Linked DNA regions of Struthio camelus. The protein of the gene in region 3 binds, or shares a complex with, the protein of the main gene of each other region. Links are inferred from orthologs where the notes say so. Each region holds a gene or a part of one and is shown on either strand. Other genes may lie near its edges.

Region 1 (7,555 bases), on a different chromosome or scaffold from region 3:
CCCAAACATCAGTTCTGTCCTGCCTAGCACAGAGGGCTTCCCATGGTTCTCCCAACAAGGAACAGTCAATCACTAGAGTTTATCAGTGGTCCTGATAAAACTTAAGTTAAATGCATGAATTAGGCTGGGATTAAGAGTCAATGAGATAAACCAAGGGGTTCCAGACAGAAACTAACACTTTGAGATCCCTCACTGACTCATTGTACAGCTTTGGCAAAGTCACTTCATTAATCCGTGACCTTTCCTACCAGTTCCGTGTATGTCTTTTGAGGATTCATTAGTTAATGTTTGCACAGGACTGCTGAGATGCAGACAGCTAGAAGTGCTCAGCCTCCCAGTAAGTTGGTTTAAGATCTCTGAGCATACAAATGCAAAAAAAGGGGTGTTCTTTTCAAATGTCAAGCCTGAAAACAGATCAGAGACAGTAAATCTAGATGTTGCCTTCTCTTCAGAACTGTTTATCACAATGCTGCATTTTTTTTTTCTTTAGAAAACTGCACATCAACTACACACAGAGCTTCTAAGGGACTAGGTACGTCTCCCTCCTCTCCTCCATGCACTGAAATAAACAAACACTGTTTGTGAAACAGAGGGTTACAGTTTGAACATAGGGAGAGAGTAAGCAGGAAAAGATGGTCTGTTCTCTACTCTTCCCCAGTTTAGAATGGATGATGGTAAGTAGAGAAATTTTTTAATGGTCACTCAGTGAGGGTCTTCTCCTTCCCTTCAGCTTATCTATATTCATCTAAGGTATCTCTCATGAAAATTAATCTGATTTTTATTTGGAAGCTAAAAATTTCAAGTGAAAAACCTACAGCAAATAGGTTAAAGGTTTAGCAAGATTTCTCTAGACCTTCTAAAGGCATTCAATTTGAGGCACTATTATTCAAGGCAGCTATTAACACTGATTGTTGACAGCTTAACTGACCGCAAGTTCAATGCACAATACATGTAGACATGGGAACTCCATATTCCAGAACAGCAGCAGGAGCTGAGAAAAAGGAGCGCACCCAAGGGGAAAGTTAAAAAAAAAAAAATCCAACAGTAAACAGGTGCTTAAGGGCAGCTTCAACCTTAAACATTTTAACATTTCAGTATTGCACAAGATCTAGCTAAATACAGACACATTGTCAGTCTCCAGCTATTCCCACTACGCTTCAATTAACAAAGGAATAATAGTAGCACAATAGATTTCTGAATATAGCTGCACAAACCTCTATTTTCAGATCTTTTGCTCTCAGTACAAAGAGAGGACTAGAGGGATGCCAAGAAGAAAACATATTCAGCTTCACGTATTTGTTACAAAGGAAGGCTATTTCCATTTTCCTCCTCCTTATGCATCAGCTGAGAATCACTGTCAAACATCTACGGAGACGTTTCTAATCCTTCTCTGTGCTGGAGAACGTGTATGTTAGGAAAGTACTTAATCCACAGAAGAGAGGCGGCTATTACAGCATCTCTCGAGTACTTAGAGCATGCAGGAAGAGTGAAGTGTTATCTGCTTTCACCATAACATCTGCATAGCAAGGCAGCGCGTATGCTTATGTGCAGTGTTAGGAATATAGGAAATTTTTTTTTAATTGGGTTTTCAAGTCTCTGTTTGAATGGTTAAGGGCTCAAATGAACTAGCTGGAAAAAGGCTCACTAAAATTCTCTCTGACTCAGGGGACGATAACAGCCAAGAAACAACTCAGATTTAACCACGGCCACCACAGAGCTGATGCAAGGGCAAGGGTGTCTTAAAGAATGCCTTCACTGAGATTTTTTTTCAACCTTCCTCCTCCCTTTACCCACACAGTTGTGCAAAGACACCACAGTGTTCTCCTTTAACCAATATTAGGATTTAAAATTAGCAAATAGGGGTATGACCTCCTCCTAGGTTGCTTTTTTTCCTCCCCCTCCTACTTAAGAGGGCAAAGCCCAGAGTGAGTGACACCACTAGTCAACGAGAACAGGAACGGTACATTAATAATCCTTCGTCTGTAATTACGTGGTGTCTTAATGTCTGTAATATTGTTACTGGTTTTCAGACCATTAGCTCAGTTAAGAACACAGTTTACAGCAGAACTTGCTGTAAGTAATGGAAAGCACTAGATGAATTATCATTTATAAACAGAGCATATTGCTCAGATAGTGCTTCTGAGACACAGCTGTGTGGTTTCTGACGGAAAGTTAGGCAGGTGCGAGGCTGCAACCCAGCAAGGAACGGCCACGTTTCAACTGTCCCTTCCTACTTGTTTATTAACAACCTCCACGCAACCGCTAGCCGTGACAGAGATGGCACAGATTTCTTGCAAGTCCCCCAGAAGCCCTTCGGTTCTCATCAGACCGGAGGGGATGCCCAGTCGGTCGAAAGCGTACCTCCGTAACTCGTTCATGACCTTGAATGCCTTTCTCATGTGAGAGGGGTTGACCGTCACCGTGCGCTGCTCCTTTTCGTCTTCGGCTGCCTCAGAGGATCGGGAACTCTGCTTAACGCTAAAAATAGGGATTAGAAAAAGAAAAAAAAAGAAAAAAAAAAGGAATAGAAAGTTTGATTTAATGGCACTAAAAAAAATGAACCGTAAAACTGCCACGGAGGGCAGTGCACGCACGGAGTTATTTGTATGTCTGTCAGGCAGCCCAGGTGGGCCATACGCAGAGCATCAGAGAAGGCAGCTACCTCCGCAGGGACGCCGAAAGCCAACCAGCCCACGTTTCCATCAGGAACAGAAAAAAGCACCAAACACGCGAGGACAAAGCCCAGCCCTACAGGCTCCGGTCCAGGAAAGCAGAATAAGCGGAAATCCAAGCCAAAACATAATTGCCTCACTGAAGAGGAACAGACTTCAGCACTGGGAATTACGAGAGCACCAGGAATACCTTAACATCCACACAGAGAAACACAAGTTTAGTTTTCAAATTCCCACCTGAAAAACGCAGGCAGACATATATGACCTGTATCTCCTTCCACAGAGGAAAATCCAAAAAGGGCTTTCACAGCTCCCAGAGCATCAGCGTTACGGAAGCCCCTTCTCATTTCCACTCCAGAAATAGGTCTACTTAATGTCACTGAAACCTGTAGAAAGAATTATTAAACCAGAATTTCCTATCAGAACTGCACAGTATATAGGCAAAGTAAAATCAGATGCGCCCCATTACGTGCTGTGTTTAACCAGGCCAACAGGTGCCTAAGGCACAGACGCGTCCTCATTGCTTTGTGCTGAGCCCTGGCTCTTTATCCACAATCGACATAAGGTCGATATATCTACCTCTGTGATCTGAAAGCGTGTGAAATCACTCGGAGCTAAAGGTTTCCATCTGTGGAAAAAAAAAAAAGAAAAAAAAAATGCAGCACTTTACAGCGAGATTACTCATTGCTGAAATCCAGAGCCCATTCCTCCGACCTTCCAGCAGCCAAAAGCAAACAAGACAGGTCGAGCAAGGTGGTCCACGTCTAAGCGCAGCCCCAAGCGAAGGGCAGATCACCCTCCCCGCGCTGCCCGGCCCCGGACCACGCCGAGCTCCTCGCCTCCGCCACCTCGCGCTCGTCCTCCCTGGATGGGCTCGTCCTTCTTCCAGAAGCAACCCGCTGCACAGCGGCCAAGTTGCACGCGGCGGCAGGCACTGAGTTAGCACGGGTGAAAAAACAGGCAACGAAACAACCGGTTTTTCTGTGCCCAGGGCAAGCTGAACCCTCCCTGCTCCTGCCCGCGCCGCTAGCAGCCTTCACGCGCACGGAGCGGCCAACTGCTCGCTGGGGACGCTGCCAAATTCGGTTAAGCCTCAGTGATGTATCTATCAAAAGCCTGCGTTGAAATCTTCGGCCAAGTGAAATTCGACCGCAGCGTTCAAAACTGCAGCGTAAAGCCTTGCTTTTTAAACTGCCAAAGCTTCCCTCGCGGCGGGCCAGAGCCCAGCAGCGAGAAACGAGGCTCTGAAAGCGCGAGTAACTTCACTGAACTTTCGGTCTCCAAAGCTGAAACACCTACAGGAAGCCAAGAGAAAAGAAAAAAAAAGAAAAAAAAAAGTGAAAGAGGGAGGCAGCAGACACCTGCACGCAGGGCTCCGGGGTGGGAGCAGCTGGGCCTCCGCAACACGCTGCTTTCCCTCTCGTTCAAAGATTGACCTTACCCCATCCAAAAATCAACCGATGCAAACAAAAATCATGAGGTTTCTTTAATAAGAAAGACTACTACACCCTACTGAGATTTATTTAGTAGCATTTCGGCGCCAGAGAGCAAAGATTCGTATTGTCAAACTTTCCAGCCGGCAAGAGATGCAGGACAAAGGACGCGGCAAGTTTCACTGAACCCCAAAAGCAAATGTCAGATCGACCAGCCTCCATAAAGCTGCAACGCCACCAATATTGGTCTGTACGCTTTAAAAGCAAAAACCTTGCTCTGGAATTTTTAAAAAACGATTGACCAATTCCTCCTAAAGAGCGTGAAGAGCAACCTTTTAAAAACTGTCCTAAAAGACATTCTCACACTTGCTAGCACAGGTGGATTTCAGACTTTACCAAATACCTAAAGACTCACCATAAAAAAGTTCTGCAGATAGTCTGGTATACAATTTGATTCAAAAAAATCAGGATATGCTATTTAAAGTTTTTTCAAATGACTCACATAAAAAACATGTTAAAAAATTTAACAGCTAAGTGCCTTTAACTCATGCTTCAAAATGACTCAGCTTCCATAGATTTTTGTACCATTAATACAGTGGGGATGCCTTTCTCTGGAACAGTGATTTCACACTACCATACACATGCTCTCTGATACCACTGACACATTTCCACCATAAAAAGGCAAGGGCCTAAACTATCCAAGTAAATGCAATCTGCCACAAAGCAAAAACTACCCCGAGAGGAAGAAAATAATGCATTACATAACACTTTTCTGAGTATTCTCCTACAACACTAAAAATTGTTCTACTTAGGAATTACTCCACTATTTTATTAGCAGAACAAAGAAAAAGAACAAAGCTCTCTAATCAAAGGTACTGGCTGGGAACACCAGGACACGCAAGGGTCCCTCTCCTCCGTAATCAGATGTACTTTCCCTGGAGCACCTTTACATTCGAGCAGCGGCGTCCTCCTGCACCAGCAGGACTTGCCACCCGGGTGCCAAGAGCAATCTGTTCTATTCCTGGGCCATCCGAGGCCACGCGCTGACAACGATTTAGTTCCCCCGGGCTGGATTAATAACCTTGTTAGGGGCACAGCAGGATCCTCCCAAGATAAGCAAAGAGGCAGAGCGCCAGCCCCACCACCACCACCACCACCTCCTGCGAGGTCCTCATTTCAGCACTCCCCCCACATAAAACAAATGGACCTGATCTCAAAGTCCCAAATGGCATCAGGGAAGCTAATCAGAAGCCCCTTTACACCACTGTCCTCCTCTCCAAGACAAGACAGACACACTAGTAGGCCTTGGCCCAAGCTACCTGCAGGCACGTAGCAGGGCCTGTCTGAGCTCAGGCTGCATACCAACCAGCAAGAAGGTATTTTAAAAACCCATAACCCGTAGCTCTGCTGCATGCATGCATTAACTATAAAGTTGGGTTGCCTTAGTTACCAGCAGTAATTACAGATGTCTTTGTAGATTATGAGGAAGAATAAAAGCCTTCCTCTGAGCTAAACCGTCCCCTCAGAAAATTATTACTGTGCAGAGAGCTGGTAAACCCCAGGAACGAAAACGGTGACTCTGCCAACAATCAATTCCACCACTGGCTTCACTGGAGCCAGAAGTTCACCCTAAAGAAACAGCAGCTTTCAAATGAGCCTTCCTTCAGCGGTGGACAGGACGGGCTTCTGCTCACACTTCTGAGGGAACGTCCTCAGGGCTCAGCTCCTGACCTTCACATGGACACCACCAGCGTCTCTCCCACAGCTCGACCACGCTCTCGCGGCGGAGCTGCGTTGCACCACCCCAGGGCTGACCCAGGCACTGCCAGGCAATCCCGATCGCTCCAGGAGGAGGCAAGCCAGGACAGGGCCACCAAGGCTGGGACTGCTAGGACACCTCAGGACTCTGCTGCAGCTGCACGCAGAGGTCTGCGGTCCAGATTGCCTCGTACACATCGTGGAGCCCCTGGTGCTGGCGGAGGGTTGGCCTCCCGCGCACCACGGGACTCGTGGACCTGTGCACCTCCATGGGGTCGGACAGCCCCACCACCAGTGTCTGGAGCTACGGGAAGGGAGCAGCCACTGCAACGCCCGGCCAGGAGCCTTCAGGCAGGAACGCAGCCCCTGACACTGGAAGTGGGGTGGGTTGTTCATCCTCTCCAAGCACCAAGAGGCTTTTGCCGTCTGAGGCGGAGAGCCTCGCGCGCATCCTTCTCAGCGGAGGTCAGCAAAAAGTGCTCGGCTTAGAGAAATCAGTAAATGCACGTGCTGCTTTCCAAATGGCTCCAGCTTCCTGGGGTCCAAACGGTTTGGAAACCTGGCAGCCTCTTATGGCACACAGCACCCAGAGAAAGACAAACAGCGTGCAGTAGTTATCTTTTTGGTCTTTGGTACTGATGTTTCAGAAAGGACAGAGCCAAGGTTACTTGGGCGTCCTGAACTGGCCTTTCATAGCTTTCTGTTAACTGAAAAGTGGAGTGACATGTTAACTATGAACGTCCTAAGCCTACAGCACTTCTTTTGGGATGCACTGCCAAACATCGCTGTAGTCTTACTCTTAACTTTCTCACAGGTTTGACACAGTTCTGCTCTAAAAACCTAAAAGATACCCAATAGCTGTTCCTAGTCTTCAAAGCTTAAATGCTTCTGCTAAGACAAGTGAAGACCAAAATATTAATTTAGTCTTGACAGAATGCGGGGGAAAAAAAAAAGTAAGCTTTACCTTAACTGGAGCAACTTTTTCATGCAGAATCAGTAACTAAAACCATAAAGACTTTATGCCCGACGGTTCCATCCCTTGAGTCAGACAAAACAAAATAAGAAAAGGATGTCAGTGTGATGGCATATTTATAAAATCCCAACTTCTAGAATTTTCTTTGGGTCAATAGAAAGATATTAAAAACTGTGATTGAAGGAATCTAAACAGACAGATGGATTTGAGAGGATTTCAGAGAAATATTATCATTAAAATGTATTACAGGGAACATAATAGAAAGGTTTTTTGTTTTCATAATAATATTTATTTGCAATTTAGTTACAGGGTTTTTTTCAGTGCCTGAATCTACACTGAGACATCAGTTTAGTGGAATATGTAATTGGCAGATGACAGACCCCAAAAGGAACACTGATCTCAGAGGAGATCTCAGGAGAAACGCAGGCGCCGGGAATTACTGAGAAGAAGAGAGTTCTCTGACAATGCTGGAACCAACACAAAACGACGCAAATACGACAAGAACGTCATTTACCTTCTAAGGCAGGTATTGTATTTCTCAGACAAATAGTATGAAGAGATTAGCACCATTTAAAGGCACATTTAAAATTACAAGTTTTTTTTAGTTCTTTAACCAAAAATTCACATTCCTTTTTTTTTTTTTTTTTTTCCCTTTCCAAACTCAAACGCACCTTGCAAATTGAGAATCGGAGTGCACGCACCCAACCATACAGTGTTAT
Region 2 (7,252 bases), on a different chromosome or scaffold from region 3:
AAGTAATACCTTCTTAATTCATTCATAACTTTGAAAGCTTTCTTCATGTGCCACGGATTCACTGTAACAGGACAGTGTTTTTCAGTGTTATCATCTTTCAGATCCAGTGGCTTCTGATGGCAAAGTTTGGTACATCTGGAAAGAAAAAAGAGCTAAGTTAATACTTCTGTAGCTCTATTTTATTCCTCGTTATCGGGGGGGGGGGGGGGGAGACAGGGAGCACTTCAACTTGTTCCTTACTTCAGCCAAATTCTACTGTAGGTCCTCAATACCAATGAGGTTGATAGAGGCATTCCAAGCTCACAGTAAGCTCCATAAACAAAACATATGGGCATGAAGCCATAGAACGTTTCTAATAAATTCTGAAATTCTAGGAAAAATAGAGGTCCTTAAACTTTTATCCTGCTGCCAGTCCAGATTCTCACCAGAATGAAGCATCCATTATTAGCAGCCTCTCAAAGTCATCACCCGTGTGCTAGAAATGAGCAGTCCTCTGCCCTTCCATCAGGACCTCCCTCACTGATTCATGCAGCTTCCAGGTTCTCTCTCCTGGCAGGAAGACCACATGATGACAACTGCAGTTTGTTCAGTCTTTTCCAACCAGTGACACAAAACATAAATTGGTATGACAACAATTGGGGAGTTTCACCGATCCACTCCATGCTTTGAAAAGCAAAAAATGATCCGACTCTTAACTATTCTTACACTTAAAAAAAAAAAAAAAAGTAGGAAAAAAAAACTCTGCAGTGTGATAATCATTAGCTCTAATTACAATTCTCCCTTTATACAAGCAAACTTAAATTCTGTAGAAAAATGATTAGATACATCTCTCATTTGCTAGGACTATCTAAATGGCAAGTGAATTTTTCAAGCCACGCCAACAAGTTTCAGGTCTATAGCCATGATGCTATTCTTACATGGTAAGTTACATTATTGCTGTATTTACTAAACACTTAGTATCAGTCACCTTTTCACCTATGCTATGTAACTTTATTCCCCAACCTCCAAACTAGAAATAAGCAAAGTATTTTTGGCACTACAGTCACTCCGTGGGGCAGCTGACTCTGGTACATCAGAGAGATGATTTCAAATAAAAACTTGATCTTACCTACTTGAAGTTAAAAATAGTTTAAATTTAACATATGCTTTGACTGCCAGAACTCCAATCTCTCTTCTACCAGACCTAAAACTTTTTCCTTAGGCATATCTGAAGAAGTTTTAAAGAAAAACTCAAGGATAATTAAAATTTTAATCTGGAATTCTATACCCTGTGCACTACAAGCAGCTGTAAACCAGCTGGCTTTATTTTTTAATCATTCCAAAACTAGTAACAAAACGTTGAGGTGAAACAGCATGAAACTGCATCAATCAACAAAGGAATAACAAAATGTGTGGTTAACAAAATAAGTTCCATCTACAGAATTCAAACCACTAGCAACTTACTGCACTCCACATCACACTGCTAAGAATTTAGTTTCACACTCAGTTGTGAAAAGGATACAAGTTATTTCTGAAAGGGGTCAAGTAACAGGACAATTTTTGCATCAGTCAGAAAAAGTCCATGTTACAGAACACACACGTGATGCTGTTCTGAGGTCCAAAAAAAAAGAAAAAGCATATTATCTAGCATACACCTTTAAACTGAATATTACCCTAGTGAGCTAGCGAGAAATCAGTGACATCAGGGAACATTCAGGAGACCACAGACTAACTGCGAGGTAGCGACCCAGGCTTTAAAGAAACTACTGATTTACCAAACTCAAGGAAGGAACATCTTCTACAGCACCTTTCCGCATCCCAAAGCGATACATCAGGTACTGCTGTGTACATAGCTGCACACATACACAGAGCACACACCTCGCACGCTGGCTGACGTGCAAGAAACAGCGGCAGGAGCTGCCCTTAGGGTGCGACCAAGCACCTAGGAGCAGTTCCTGGGAAGCTGAAAACCATTTGGTGAAGTACTGGAAAAAGGACCGGTTTGTTTTAAGGTAACGACACCCACAGAAACACCAGCGAGGTGCCTCCTGCTTTTAGGGCCGCTTTGTCTACTTCGAGTTATACGAGTCTGCCTTACAGTTTCACGAAGCAGGCCAAAGCTGTGTGTGAATGATCTTATTTAGTTCGTTTTTAAGAGCCTCAGCTACAAAGTATCTGAAAACACAACATCCTGAAGGAGGCAGGAGGAAGCTGCGCTGAACTGGAGCGCACAAAATCAGGGCTGAACCCAAACGAAGTACGGGGGCAACCGCATGGCCCGCTCCTGAAAAAGACGCTTAACTAAATAATCAGAAAACTCCAAGTGCGACAAGCATGATGACTGCTGAGTCAAGCAGGGAGTAAATCGGGAGCACAGAAGGAGGAAGCAGAAGGAGCGAGGGGGAGGAAGGGGAGGAAGGGGGGGGGGAACCGCCTGTCCCCGCAAACCGCGAAGCGTTTTTGAACTCCAGCGGCCCCGGCCACCCCCGCAACTCCTTCCTGCTCGCCGGCCACCAGCCCCGGGCGGAAGGTCACGACGGCCGGCCCCGGCCCCGGCCCTGACCCCGGCCCCGGCTACGCGCCGCCGGCCGGCCCCGCCGCGGCCAAGGCCCCGCCGCCTTCGGCCTCGCCTCGCCAGACCGCCAAAACCCGGCTTTCTGTCAGCAAAACGGCGGGCGCCGACGCCGAGGGGCCGGGAAGGCGCCGGGGGCACGGCTGTCCGCCAACGCCGCCACGACGGGGCGCGGCCGCCGCGCCGCCCCGCCCCGCCCCGCGCAGGTGCGGCAGCACCGCCGGGCCCCCGGCCGCCCACCGCCACCGGCCCTGCCGCGCCGCCCGCCCGCCCGCCCCGCGCACTCACACGGGCGGCAGCAGCATCTCCATCGCGGCTCCGCTCGGGCGTCCTGCGTGCAACGCGGGCGCCGCGCGCTGCCGCCAGCACCATGCCAACGGCACGGCACGGCACGGCACGGCACGGCACGGCACGGCACGGCACGACGCTGTGCCGCCCGCCCGCGCCCCCGGTGCTCCGCCCCGCCCCGCCCCGCCCCGCCGGCACCGCCCGCTTCCGGGTTCCAGCCCGCGCGAGGGCGGTGGCGGGCCGGGCGGCGCGGCACGGCGCAGGCGCGGCGGCCGGGGCCGGGGCGGGAGGCGCTGGGCGGGGGGCGGCGGCGGGCGGCCGCCCCGCTCCTTGTAACGGTCCCAGTGCGGGGCGGCGGCGGCGGGCTGCAGCGGGCGGCGGGGAGGGCGCCGCCGAGGCAGGCGCCTGCCAGGGCCGCGGGGGTGCGCCTGAGGCGGCCCTCGGGTACAGGCCGTGGAGGGGCACCTGCTGCTTCCCGCCGGGCCGGTCTGGCAGCTGCTGTGGCACCTGCTCGCTCGGCTTTGCTGCAGCTCGGGGAAAGGGCAGAGGGAAAGGTCTCGCAGGCGCGAGGGTCCGACGGAGGAGAGAGGGGCTTGGAGCACCGCGGGCTGCGGTTGGGGTGCTCTGGTTCACTGGGACTCAGCGGATCTAATGTGCTGTCACCTCGCCCAGCCCAGCAGGACAGCGACTGTTTTGCTCAAAACAGCTGCCTTCTGCCAGTCTTTAGTTACATAATCACATCCTTCCCTGAGGTTTAGGACTAAGTCGTTGAATTTTTTGTTTTAATGTTAGTTTAGGTAGCTTCTGTGATGCAGAATCTCTGAAGGAAACAGGACAGGGATCTATTTCAAATACTTGTCTTGGGAAGCTGCTCCGCTGCAAACCCTCAAGAAGACTACTGTGCTTAGCAATTTCTGTCTTGGAGGATTCTAGAAGATTTTACTGTACTTAAACCTCTGTAATTTACTTCCAAATCTTAAGGAAAGATTGTGCAGCGGAAGCAGAGGTGTTTATCAAGCTGAAAACAATTAAGGTGTTTATGACTGATAGTTTCAGTAAAAATAAAATGGTTCTCCTCTGGAGTGAGAGATTTGATTATCAACAAAGTTTATCTGAAACTAATAGATTTGCCACTAACTGACCAAAACTACTTTTCTAAAAGTGAGGGAAGTTTGAGGACAGCACGTTTGGAGAAGGCAAAATAGAAAATGGTAGTGTACTTCGGGTGAATGTTATAGATGGATACATAAAGCCTTCCCCAGTGTTTCTAATAAAGTCAGATATTATTAAAACTAAATGTATTTTAATGATGTATCATTTCATCTTTGCTAATCTTTAATAACATTCTCACTGGGAAAATGCAGTTTCAGTTTCTCTCTAAAATTATCTCTCCGTTTACCAATTCTCTTTCACTATACTGTGATGTTTAATTTGGGAACGCTTCAAAAATCTTTCAACAGGTTTCCACTGGAGGTTTTTCTAAATGGAATCATCACAATTGACAGTGCCTGTTTTCACAAAGCCTGTGCTTTGTAAGCGTTGAATTTGTCTCTTCTCAAGAGACAGCAAAGTTTGCCTCTGGGTTGTATTGGAGAAGACAAGCTACTTGTTGAAGATTTGAAAGAGAAACAAGAAAACCTGCTTGCATGGCAATCCGCTCCAAAGGGACCAGCTTGCAATAATGCACTCTGAAATGGAAGCTTAAAAGCGTCCTTTTCAGCCTGCGCAATGGGACATATTAGAGATGAGTTCTGAGTTACGGCTTCAAAAGCAGTCTGGCGTTGGTACGTTAGATTGTTACTGATCACTGTCACATCATACTTTCAGGTTTCTGTTTCCCAGAGTAAATGAGTTACTCTGAAAAACAGAGAGAGATCTTAGCTTTTACTGATCTGTGAGACCTAAGTGAATCTTAGCAGCAATCGACTGCACAGTTTAAGGCTTCATGTTAGTATACATAGTCATTGAAAGTTTGTCTGGGAGCTGAGGCAGGGTTTTTACACTACTTGGCTACAGCTCCTTCAAGCACATAGGCTGATTCTGCCTCCTGTTAACAAGGCAGAACTTTTCAGTAATGTTCATTCTTAAATTAACATTAAGCATTTCCAGCCTATGAGTTCTGTCATTTTTCTTGTAATGTTTTCTGGCTTTTCAACCAAATGTTTACTGTTAGTTTAAGAAACTTCTGTGATGCTTTACATCAGAAAGAAACACAAATGGGACAGTGATGTTTTCCCCCCGCCTAAAATTATGTCTTTGTACTTCAGTAATTCCTGAAAGGAATCATACACATATAAATGATTGTATCCAAATATGTCACATGGTTATGGCAAAGTAACAATCACACATCCTTCTCCAACCATGAGGAAATACATCTTTTATATACAGTAGTTGGATTTTTGTGAGATTTTGTTTGGTCTATTACCTATTCTGCGTAGAAAGAACTTTTAGAGAACAATTTACTTTACCTATGCGTGTGTGTATATATGTAGTTTTCAAAGGAAATAGGCCAAGTTTCTTACCTATGACAAAACAGCTGCCATTTTTGTTTAAGAAGCAGCAATTCGAATCACTACATTGACTGAGGAAATTCACTTTTGTGCTTAGGACTGCCCCTGTTCCGTTGGGGACCCTTGTTCCGTTCCCACTTGTTTTGAGGAGTTCGACAGGAATGCATCCAGCTCTGCGCTTGCAGGACAATGCTTATTAACTACTGCAGATTTCTTGGGATATATTGACACTAGAAGTACTTTATTGACACTAGAAGTACTTTACCAATATAGAAATACTGATATTGTACATCAGCAAAGTGCATCTGCTGAAAATGCAGCTATGTTAGCAAAGCGATACTTTCTAGTAAGACAGTCCCACAAGTAACCCGGTCCTACAAATGAAATAAGCAGTCCTGGTAAAAGTCAGTGTAACCCCAGGCATACATGGTGTTTTACAGACATCTTTAAGGGATCACACCAGGCTGACACGGTCATGCTGGAAAAAATCTGTATTAGGTTTAGCCACAGACAACACTAAAATAAACTCTTATTTGTATTTCTAATGGTCAAATCCAGATTAGGAGGACCTCTCCAAAAAAGAAAAAATAACTTTGTATTGAAGACTTGAAGTATTGCTCTCCTTTTGCTGCTGTTGCAAATAGAAAAAAAAAACGAGGTCCTTCCTCCCTTTGTTAGCTGTTACGTTATTTGTAATTTGTTAAAGTTGTATCTTACTGAATTTTGTTGTAGGTAATTTATGTTTAAAATGTAAGTAAAAATATATCTTTTTTGTTCAGAATCTTTTAGGGCACACATCCACTCTTTTTGCTGTGCATTTCGCCCCCAGTAAGATGAGCAACAGATTTTATACGACATGACCCTGCATCTATGTAGATCCACAAGAAATCACCCATGTGGAATTCATGGCAGGAATTCAGGTCAACACAGTCATTGCCTATTATTGCATTTTTTGCCTAACATACTAGTACTAGTATCAGCATTAATCAAGCGTTAACTAACGTTATAATGCATTATATAGTGTAAGAGACTTTTTTTTCAGAAGAATGGAATATTAAAAGTTTCAGAGAACCACTGATCTAAGGACATGAATGCAGTTGAGAAGAATTACATTGAAAAATAACATGCAAGGGAAATGCAAGAAAGTGCATGCAGCAGACAGAGGAGAAGGGGACCAGATTGCAGAGGAATATGTATTGGAGAGTAGGCAGAAAGAAGGGGAAAAAAAAGATACATAAGTCAAGAGTGTGAAGTAAAGAGGAATAGGAAAACAGCTCTATCAAAAATAAAATGTACTGTGACCAAAATCAGTTAAACACAATTAAGTTAAACACGATCAGTTAAACACAATTAAGCATGGATAAAAATATTTTAAATCTTTTACAGTATTATTTTTCAGTGTAGGCAATTGACGCATCGTACCACGAATGATCATCCTTAATGAAAACAGATGAAGGGTAATATTTATCTGTAGAAAGTTCACAGACCCTGTGATAAGGATGGTGTACAACTAGTAATTATGAACCGAGTTTCCACTGATTAAAATCAAAAAGGGTGTATTTCCAAAAATACTCGATATGGCACACAGTCTAGCAAACAGATTTTAAACGCTCTAATCCTAGTTTTGAAAAAAAAAAGGCAAATAAAAAAGCAAATGGTATGAAGCTTCTGAGTTCTGGAGAATGGGGAAGTCAAGTATTTGTGGTCAGTTCTGGACAGTACAGTGTTCATTGCAGACTGCAAGTTCATTTTAGTGTCATGGAAAAAGCAGTCCTAGTTCAAGCAAGCATTATGAATGGAAGCAAGCAGAGATCATGGTTTTGATTTGTACTACTACAGCAAATTACTGAGAAATTACAGTCGAAATTTCTATGAACACGTCTGAGGCCCTTTGCCACCCAGG
Region 3 (7,837 bases):
CACCTATCAACTGAAATAGCCTCGGACCTAAAGCTGGAAAGCGTAAACAGGTCGCGGCGGGTCTGCGGGACGCGGGCAGGAGGCAGGGACGGCCGCGACGCCGAGGACGGGGGTCCCGCGGGAGCGGCGCAGCCCGTGCCTCCGGACGGCCGGCGCCGGGCGGGAGAGCGAGGAGAGCTGCGATTTGGGATCGAGGGACGTCGCAACGGCCGGACAAGGCTCTCAGAGCCGGAACTGCAGGTCAGGGCTGAGGTTAGGTACTCGGTTATATTTGAAAGGCAATAAAAGGAGAACTGTGAAAGACACGGGACAAAGCTATTTTTAAAAGGGCAGAACCACAACCATTTTTATTTGCGGTTACAAATCCCGTATTTGTGTCACAGTGTCTGATTCTTTGCATGGTTGCTGCAGGAAAACAGACTTTTAAAAGTCTGCCTATATGCTTTCAGACCCGAATGGGACGTGGGTTCTGGGACAGGAGCCACGGAGAGCGAGCAGCTAGGGGCAGGGCCGGCAGGCAGGAGGTGGCGGAGGGGAGGAACGGGGAGAGCCACGGCGGCGGGAAGGGGCGCTGCGCCGGGCCGGCCCGCGCCCCGAGGCCCCCCGCGCCGCAGGAGGCCGAGGGCCGCCAGCTCTCCCCGGCGCGGCGGGCACGCTCCCGCGTGGGCGGCTGCACCGCGCGCGAGCGGCTCCCCGGCCCCACGGGCGCCGGCAGCGGGGCGATTCCCTTCCTGCAGCTGGGGGACGCAGCCCGGCCACCCCCAGGGGCGTCTGCCGCAGCGGGGCCGGGGGCTTGGGGCTGCCAGGCAGCGCCGTGCAGCAGCGGGACCTGCCACGCACGCTAGCGGTGAAGCCGGGAGAGCAGGGACGCGCGTGGGCAAAGACAGGGCGCAGACCCACGACGGTCTGCCGCGACGCCAGCCGGGCACGGCTGACTCGCCCAGAGAAAGCCGCAGGGTTTAGCAAGAAACGTCCTTCCTTGTCAGGGCCAGACCGGTTTTCTCAGCAGCACGCGAAGGGATACGAGACGCAAGTGGAAGCGCGGGAGCACTGCAACGGGACGAGGTGCAAAGCGAGGGTGGGACACAGCATGCGCTCAGCGGGCAGCTGGAGCAGTTGTGCAATCCCGCGACGCCGGGCCAAGGCCTCACCTTCCTCGCTAACAGGGAACACCGAGCCCTTCCTGAAAGCATTCACCATTACCTAAGGATCTCTGCTTCCATTGCCAGGCTGCAGCCGTCCCCAGGGATGCAGCAGCGTGCAGCTGCACCAAGGTTTTAGGAACAAGACAACAAACTTGCAAGACACGTTTTTCTGTGTAAACAAGGACTTGGACCTTCCAGCTACAATAGCCACCAGGGCGAAGGAGCCCGTCCGAGACTTTGGACTTAGCGGAAGCCCCTCCCCAGGGGCTCTGCGGAGGAAGAGGGAGCCCCGCAGCAAGACCACCCACGCGCGGCCTCACCCGAGCGGCGAAGGCGTTAGGGAGCCGACCCCCCGCTGCTCCCCTTCGCGCCCTGGCGTTAGCGTCCCGCGGTCGGGCCGCAGGACAGCGAAAGGCACGGCGGGACGCGGGGGGAGACAGGGGCCAGCGCAGCTGCTCCCAGACCTGGAAAGCCGCAGCTGCAGGCGCAGCTAGCCAAGCGTGCCGGCCGCGCGGCAGGGACCTCGGCGCCGCAGGTGCCTACGGACAGCGCCGCAGTCAAGGACGAGCGGCCGGCGCGCACCAAGGACGCGCTGTACCCTGGAAGCAGGCTCAGCACCCAGCCTCAAGCACACTGCGAACACGTGCCCAGCGGCGTGCCCGGGGCTATCGGAGCAGCCCGCCAGCCCTGGCGCAGAGCCACGGGCCGAGGAGAGGGCGCTGCTGTCCCAGACCGCCCTTGCCAGGGGCGAGCGCAGGGCTCAGCCCCCAGCAGCAGGGCTGGATCCACCCGCGAACTCCTGGAGCGGGACCGGCACGGGCAGCGCGGGCGCACCAGGAGCGCTGCCACCGCGCAGCCAGCAACACGGCGAGTGGAAAACAGCACGTGACAGGCGGGAGGGCTGGGAAGCGCCGTGTTAAGCCCGGAGCTGGGCCCAGGCCAGCAGCCCCCGCGCGGCTCCGAGGCGCCGGCCAGCACGCAGGCACCTTCGGGGAGCGAGGGAACCTGAGCCCGGCTGCAAGGACCGCGTCCTGCTCGGCTGCTGCAGCCGGCTGCGGAAATGGCACGGACACGACTAACAACCGCCCGTGCGCTGCTCTGGGCATCCCAAGGGGAGCTGCCTCGCGCTTCCCCCGCGCAGCGCGGCCGCCCCGGGAGGCACCGGAGGCAGCGAGAGGGATTCACGGCTGCAGGGCGGCTGCAGGCGCCAGGGCAACCGGCAGGGGAAGAGCTGCCAAGCGGCCCCGGCTACGGCCCCTCCGTCGGGGCGGGCAGCCCGCGGCGGCAGCGCGGAGGGGCAGAGGCGGCCGGGCCGGGCCGGGCCGGGGTCGGGGCGCCGCCGCCCAGGTGCCGCCCGCGGGCAGGGCTCCCGCAGCCCCCCGGCCCCGACCCCCGGCCCCGGCCCTTACCTGCAGCTCGCACCAGGCCACCTCCACGGTGGTCTCCGTGTCCAGCCCCTTGTAGACGGTCTTGAAGGAGCCGCGGCCGATCTCGATGTCGAACTTGAGGAACCGGCCGTCGGGGGAGGTGGCCACGGCGCGGGTCTCCACCTCCTCGCTCTCCGTCTCCTCGGGCTCCCGGCGGCGCCCGGCGGGCGGCGGCAGCGGCGGCGGCGACCCCCCGCGCCCCGGCCCCGGCCCCGGCCCCGCCGCACCGCGCAGCAGCTCCAGCTCGGCCGAGCTGCGCCGGCTGAAGCGGGCGGAGGCGCGGCGCGACTCGCGCCCCGAGAGCCGCCGGCCGCGGCTGCGGTGCGGCGCCCGCCCGGGGGCCCCCGGCCCCGGTCCTGGCTCCGGCTCCGGCCCCGGCCCCGGTCCTGGCTCCGGCTCCTCCGCCGCGCCGCCGCCGCCCGCCCGCTCCGCCTCGGGCTGGGACATGGCCCCGCCGGCGGCGGCCGGCTCCGCCGCCAGCATCGGCCCGCGGCGGCGACGGCGGCGGCTCGGCCGCTCCCGCGCAGCTTCGCACCTGGCGCCGCCGCCGCCGTCCGCCCGCCGAGCCCCGGCCCGGGCCCCGGCACCGGCCCCGGCCCCGGCCCCGCCCGGCGGCACCGCCCCCGGCCCGGCCCGGCACCGCCTCCCCGCGGCCACCGCCCCCCCTGCGCCGCGGGAGCGGCCCCCGCCGGCCGCGGCACCGGCACCGGGCTCCGTGCACCGCGCACCGGCACCTGCACCGGGCTCCGTGCACCGCACACCGGCACCGGCACCGGGCACCGGGCACCGGGCACCTGCACCGGGCTCTGTGCACCGCGTACTGGCACTGGCACCGGGCTCCGTGCACCGCGCACCGGCACCAGCACCGGGCTCTGTGCACCGCACACCGGCACCGGCACCAGGCTCCAGGCACCGGGCACCGGGCACTGGACTCTGTGCACCAGGCACCGGCACTGAGCTCCAGGCACCGCACACCAGCACCTGCACTGGCACCAGCACCGGGCTCTATGCACTGGGCACTGGCACCCGCACTGGCACTACACACCCGGACACCACACACTGGGTGCCAGCACCCACACCAACACTGCACAGCCAAGCACCAGGCTCCACGCACTGTGCATCAGCACTGTGCACCCAAGCACCACGCACCCGCCCCAGGCTCCATGCCCTGGGCACAGGCACCCGCACTGGCACTGGGCTCCATGCACTGGGCACATGCACCACACACCAGCACCGGCACAGGCACTAGGCACCAGCATGGTCATTGTGCACCTTGCACGAGCACTGGCATGGGCAGCGTGCATGGGCAGCGGGCACCAGCACAGGCACCAGGCTCCACGCACTGGGCATGGGCATGGGGCAGCAGCACAGCTCACCAGGCACCGTGGCCCAGGCAATGCACACCACGCACAGGCACCGCACACTGGGCACAGGCTGCACGTGCTGAGCACCGGTTCTGGGTAGTCTGCACCAGGCACAGGCACTGCGTGCAGGAGCTGCATGCAGCGTCCCTAGCCCCCAGCACCGCTCTGTGCACGGCCCACAGTCCCTGGCACCCTGGCACTGGGCTCCGCACACCAGCACCAGGCACTGCATCCCAGGCACCAGGCTCCGCACACGGGCTGCGCGTGGGCACAAGGTGCTGGGATGGCTGCAGGTCCCAAGGCAGGGCATGTGCCCCGTCCTTCCCCTGCTGCAAGCCTAGCTCTGAGCCCAGCTGCTGTGCAACGGCCATCCCCTCCTTGCAGAGCTAGAAGCGGCTGCCAGCCCCTTTCCCTCCCAGGCTTGAGCCAGCGCTCTGCTCTCCAGCAGCGTTGGAAACAATCCTGGCAATGGGGCTAGTGTAATTGAAGCATCAGACAGGGTGACGCAGGCTACACTGAGCTGTAGGGAAGTGCTTGTTTTAGACATTTACTTAGAGCTTTTAACTTGAGATTTCAGAGCAGCGGGTTTACAAGAAACAGCAGCTGTCCCTCTCCCAGGTTGTGGGGAGCACCTCCTGCCGCTCGCTGTTCTGACAAGCTATCGGGTCCCGCGCCTGTCTGCTCAGCTTGACAGCCCATCCTCTCAGTTTGCTACTGGGTGAAATCCTAAAATTAGGGCCATGCAAATATTAAGGTATGAATGTCTGTTCCAGCCATGCACTAACCCAGAGCGCAGACAAGAGCTTGTTGTCTCTACGGTTTAAACTAAGAAGTTGTTCTACTTAGTGGAACTGTTTACACAAAATACAAAGCAATTGAAGCCGACATTAATTTATTTTCCCTAGGATCAGATTGTTTCTATTCAACGATAAGAGAAACATTAAGGGGAGGATTGAAATAGTAGCCCAGCAATGTCCTCCACACAGATTTCAAATGCTAACCCGGCGTATGCAGGAGGACAGCGAGTGATCCCTGGGCTGCAGCCCTGACTCACAGTACCGCTGCAGCCCACGTCTAGCACAGCTGCAGCCCCACAAATCCCACCCCCCGTCCGGGCGGGAGGAGGGAGACGCATTTAATGAAACGTTGTTTCTGCAGCAGCCCTGGATAGGCCGAGTGTCAAACTGCTAATCTCCCGGGCACAGGCAGGCTTGTGCTACCTTCACATGACCCCGTTCATTCATCCCTGCTTGCCCGGCTCGCAAAACAAAGGAGCCAGGTAAAACTGCCCCAAGAGGAGAATGTGATCGGATGTCTCTTTTTTGCTTGAAAACTGCTAATGTGCAGCCTGGGTTGGTGAGTTGAGAGACGGGACCACATCCTTACCTACATGCGGTGCTCCCAAGAGCGTGCTCAGGGCATGTGCTAGCGGGAGAACAGCCACCCAAGGCTGAAGCATGCACGTCTAAGGTCTGCCCCTCCGCAGCACTCCGCTTGGTGCCTCCTGGGAGGAAGTGCCCCTTGTCCCAAAGCACCAGAGGCTGATTGTTGCCAAAGACAAAAGGCCAGGACAGACGGGCTGATAGGTGTGGCACACACAATGTTCCTGGTGTGGAAGACTGTTGTGTTGTAAAATATGACACAGTTGGACTCCACTCTGCCAAATGAAGTGTTTTATTCAGATGCACCGTTCTGCCAGGGCAAAAACATCTGCCCTTTTCACCAGATCCACATCCAGAAAGGGGGGGGTATCCCAGCTCCCCACGCAAACGCCTCCCACGTGGCATCTCTCAGGCTTCCCGCTTCCTACTGACCTCTCTCCTCCAGCGTCTTGCAGGCTGCACAAAGTTAAAGAGCCCGTGCACAAGCCAGGGGACCATCTGCCAAAGCCCCAGGGGAGGCAGGAGGAGGAGACACGTGAAGAACCATCCTTCATGCCCCATCTTTTGACTTTCACCTCTCCTCCAGAGCCCGTCAAAGCCGCGGGAAACAGGGCTGTAGCTTTCCTACCCATCTAACATATGTCAGGTTTTAAAAGTTCCCTGCTTAAAAAGTAATTGCTTTTACTTTTATCCGGTCCTGACTGCAGCTCTCAGCAAAGCCGGAGATTTCAGTCTTTTCTAGCTGAAAATCCTCCACTTGATCCACAGAGCAGCGAGGGGGAACGTCGAGTGTCGTTCTACAGCCGCCAGAACGGAGGCGAATCCGGACACCGCGCAGCTCCGGCGCAGCCGCTGGGGCCTGCCCCTCAGGGTGGGATATCGATCTCAGCACCACTCAGCGCAGACCGGTCGCTTCCTCAATTAAATAGGAAAATGAATCTATCCGCAGAGAGAAATGCTGCTGCTCTGCAAGGGAATTCCCACCACCTCCGACACGGCAAGCGCTCCAGGGACGGCACGTTCGGCTGCTTCTGGCCCCGGGGCTGTGTCCAGAGGGAGAGAAAACCGATCGCAACTCTCCGTTCCCTTCTGCACAGGGCAAGAACAGGAACGACCACAAGAGAGACTGTTAGGTTCGCTACGGGTGCCTTCCTGACCCGGTCCTGAGGTAGCAAGCTGGACTCAGACCTGGGCTGAAAGCAGAAAGTTCCAGTCCACAATCAACAGCTCATTCCCAGTGCTCAGAAAACACACACAACACCCTTGCACGTTATCAGGGTGACGTCTCTCTTGGGCTTGTGGTGCCAGTGCCAGCCCTTCACTTTGAGGAACCGCTGTAATCAGGCAATTTAACCTATTTTTCGCATGCATTTGGCTGCCAGGAAGAGAACAGGGGACTGTGTAATCACTCTCCTTGGGATTAGATCACTAATCAAAGAACTGTTCAGCTAAGCGCGCCGGTGTCTCCCGTGCTAGCTCCAGCGAGCGCTGCCAGAACTTGTCCGTTCTGACCTCAGAGCTCCTGGCAGCATAAGCGAGGGGCCAAGACGGGTCCAGACACAGAGGAGGTCTGTGTACCTACGAACCTCCTTCAGCCAGTGGTGCCCAGGTGTCTTCTGCATGAGACGGGGATACCCAGTTCAGACTGGACAGCACGGCAAGTGAAACGGCAGATCTGGCTAGTCCGACAAGTGAGTTGAGCTTCCTGGATTTGCCTTAACCGTTGCATATCTTGGAAAGGAGCAGGGAGGAGGCTTCCACTAATACACCCTTTCCTACTAGGAAACGTGTTGGGGCGAACAGGTCCCACTAAAACAGGCACGGAGCAGAAAAAGGCCTTTAGGAGCCAGAAGCAGAAGAAGGGAGCAGGACACAGAGAACGCGTCGCAGGACCAGCGGGAACGGCACGACCAGGCCAGAGCGGCACGAGAGGCGAGCAGGCGGAAGAGGCCAGCTGCGCGGCCCCGCCAGCCTTCCTTCACGCCACCCCTGCCAGGCAGGCGCAGGGTCCAAGCGCTGCCTCGAGCGTAAAGCAGGATAGTACCACCGCCCACGGATGCCGACAGGGAAGGGGACCCGGGAGCTGTTTCCTGGTGGGCTGCGGCACTGCATACCTGCTGGTGCCCCCTCCTCGCTCGTCTCCCTGCGGGCCATCCTTACCCTAGCGCACGTACTGCAGGGAGGGCGAGATGTCATTCAAACCTCAGTTGTGCCTTTAGCTCCAGGCAGATAAGTCTTCTCAGGATTTCCTCAGCCCAGAGTTACAGACGTAACCCGTGTACAAATTCATCCCAGGTTACGTGTTTATCAAACTGGAACAACTCTTGATCCTGACCAGCTGCACTAAATGAAAAAGCTCTGAACCGTTTCCTGCCCGCGAGCAGCGGGCTCGGCGCGTGCGTGGCCTGATAGCCCCTTATCTCGGCAGCAGGCCCCCGCGCTCCGCCTCGCCCTGGCCAGCGAGCCCGCAATCAACGCGGCCAGACGCGGCGGTGACCTCAGAGCCGCAGGGAAGGTTC

What was found.
Region 1: the proteins of WNK4 (region 3) and KLHL3 are in contact, whole or in part, in a crystal structure (PDB 4CH9), measured with the Homo sapiens proteins. The link is inferred for Struthio camelus from reciprocal best matches to the Homo sapiens genes WNK4 and KLHL3. Residues at the interface, in NP_115763.2 of Homo sapiens: Glu557, Pro558, Glu559, Glu560, Pro561, Glu562, Ala563, Asp564, Gln565; in NP_059111.2 of Homo sapiens: Arg339, Phe355, Gly357, Ser358, Leu359, Arg360, Thr386, Phe402, Gly404, Gly407, Ser432, Tyr449, Gly451, Ser481, His498, Arg528, Tyr577.
Region 2: the proteins of WNK4 (region 3) and KLHL2 are in contact, whole or in part, in a crystal structure (PDB 4CHB), measured with the Homo sapiens proteins. The link is inferred for Struthio camelus from reciprocal best matches to the Homo sapiens genes WNK4 and KLHL2. Residues at the interface, in NP_115763.2 of Homo sapiens: Glu557, Pro558, Glu559, Glu560, Pro561, Glu562, Ala563, Asp564, Gln565; in NP_009177.3 of Homo sapiens: Arg345, Phe361, Gly363, Ser364, Leu365, Arg366, Thr392, Phe408, Gly410, Ser411, Thr412, Gly413, Ser438, Ser439, Tyr455, Ser487, His504, Arg534, Tyr583.

Annotation. Positions count from the first base shown.
Region 1 is NC_090954.1:5,722,451-5,730,005, forward strand, and holds the start of KLHL3 (kelch-like protein 3), read right to left. Parts: upstream 3,053-7,555; 5' UTR 3,020-3,052; coding exon 2,910-3,019; intron 2,479-2,909; coding exon 2,362-2,478; intron 1-2,361. UniProt on the Homo sapiens protein: Substrate-specific adapter of a BCR (BTB-CUL3-RBX1) E3 ubiquitin ligase complex that acts as a regulator of ion transport in the distal nephron.
Region 2 is NC_090945.1:43,282,066-43,289,317, reverse strand, and holds the start of KLHL2 (kelch-like protein 2), read right to left. Parts: upstream 3,019-7,252; 5' UTR 2,863-3,018; coding exon 2,840-2,862; intron 2,361-2,839; exon of another isoform or gene 1,502-2,360; intron 1,208-1,501; exon of another isoform or gene 1,109-1,207; intron 550-1,108; exon of another isoform or gene 426-549; intron 136-425; coding exon 10-135; intron 1-9. UniProt on the Homo sapiens protein: Substrate-specific adapter of a BCR (BTB-CUL3-RBX1) E3 ubiquitin ligase complex that mediates the ubiquitination of target proteins, such as NPTXR, WNK1, WNK3 and WNK4, leading most often to their proteasomal degradation.
Region 3 is NC_090966.1:7,833,388-7,841,224, reverse strand, and holds the start of WNK4 (serine/threonine-protein kinase WNK4), read right to left. Parts: upstream 3,056-7,837; coding exon 2,555-3,055; intron 1-2,554. UniProt on the Homo sapiens protein: Serine/threonine-protein kinase component of the WNK4-SPAK/OSR1 kinase cascade, which acts as a key regulator of ion transport in the distal nephron and blood pressure.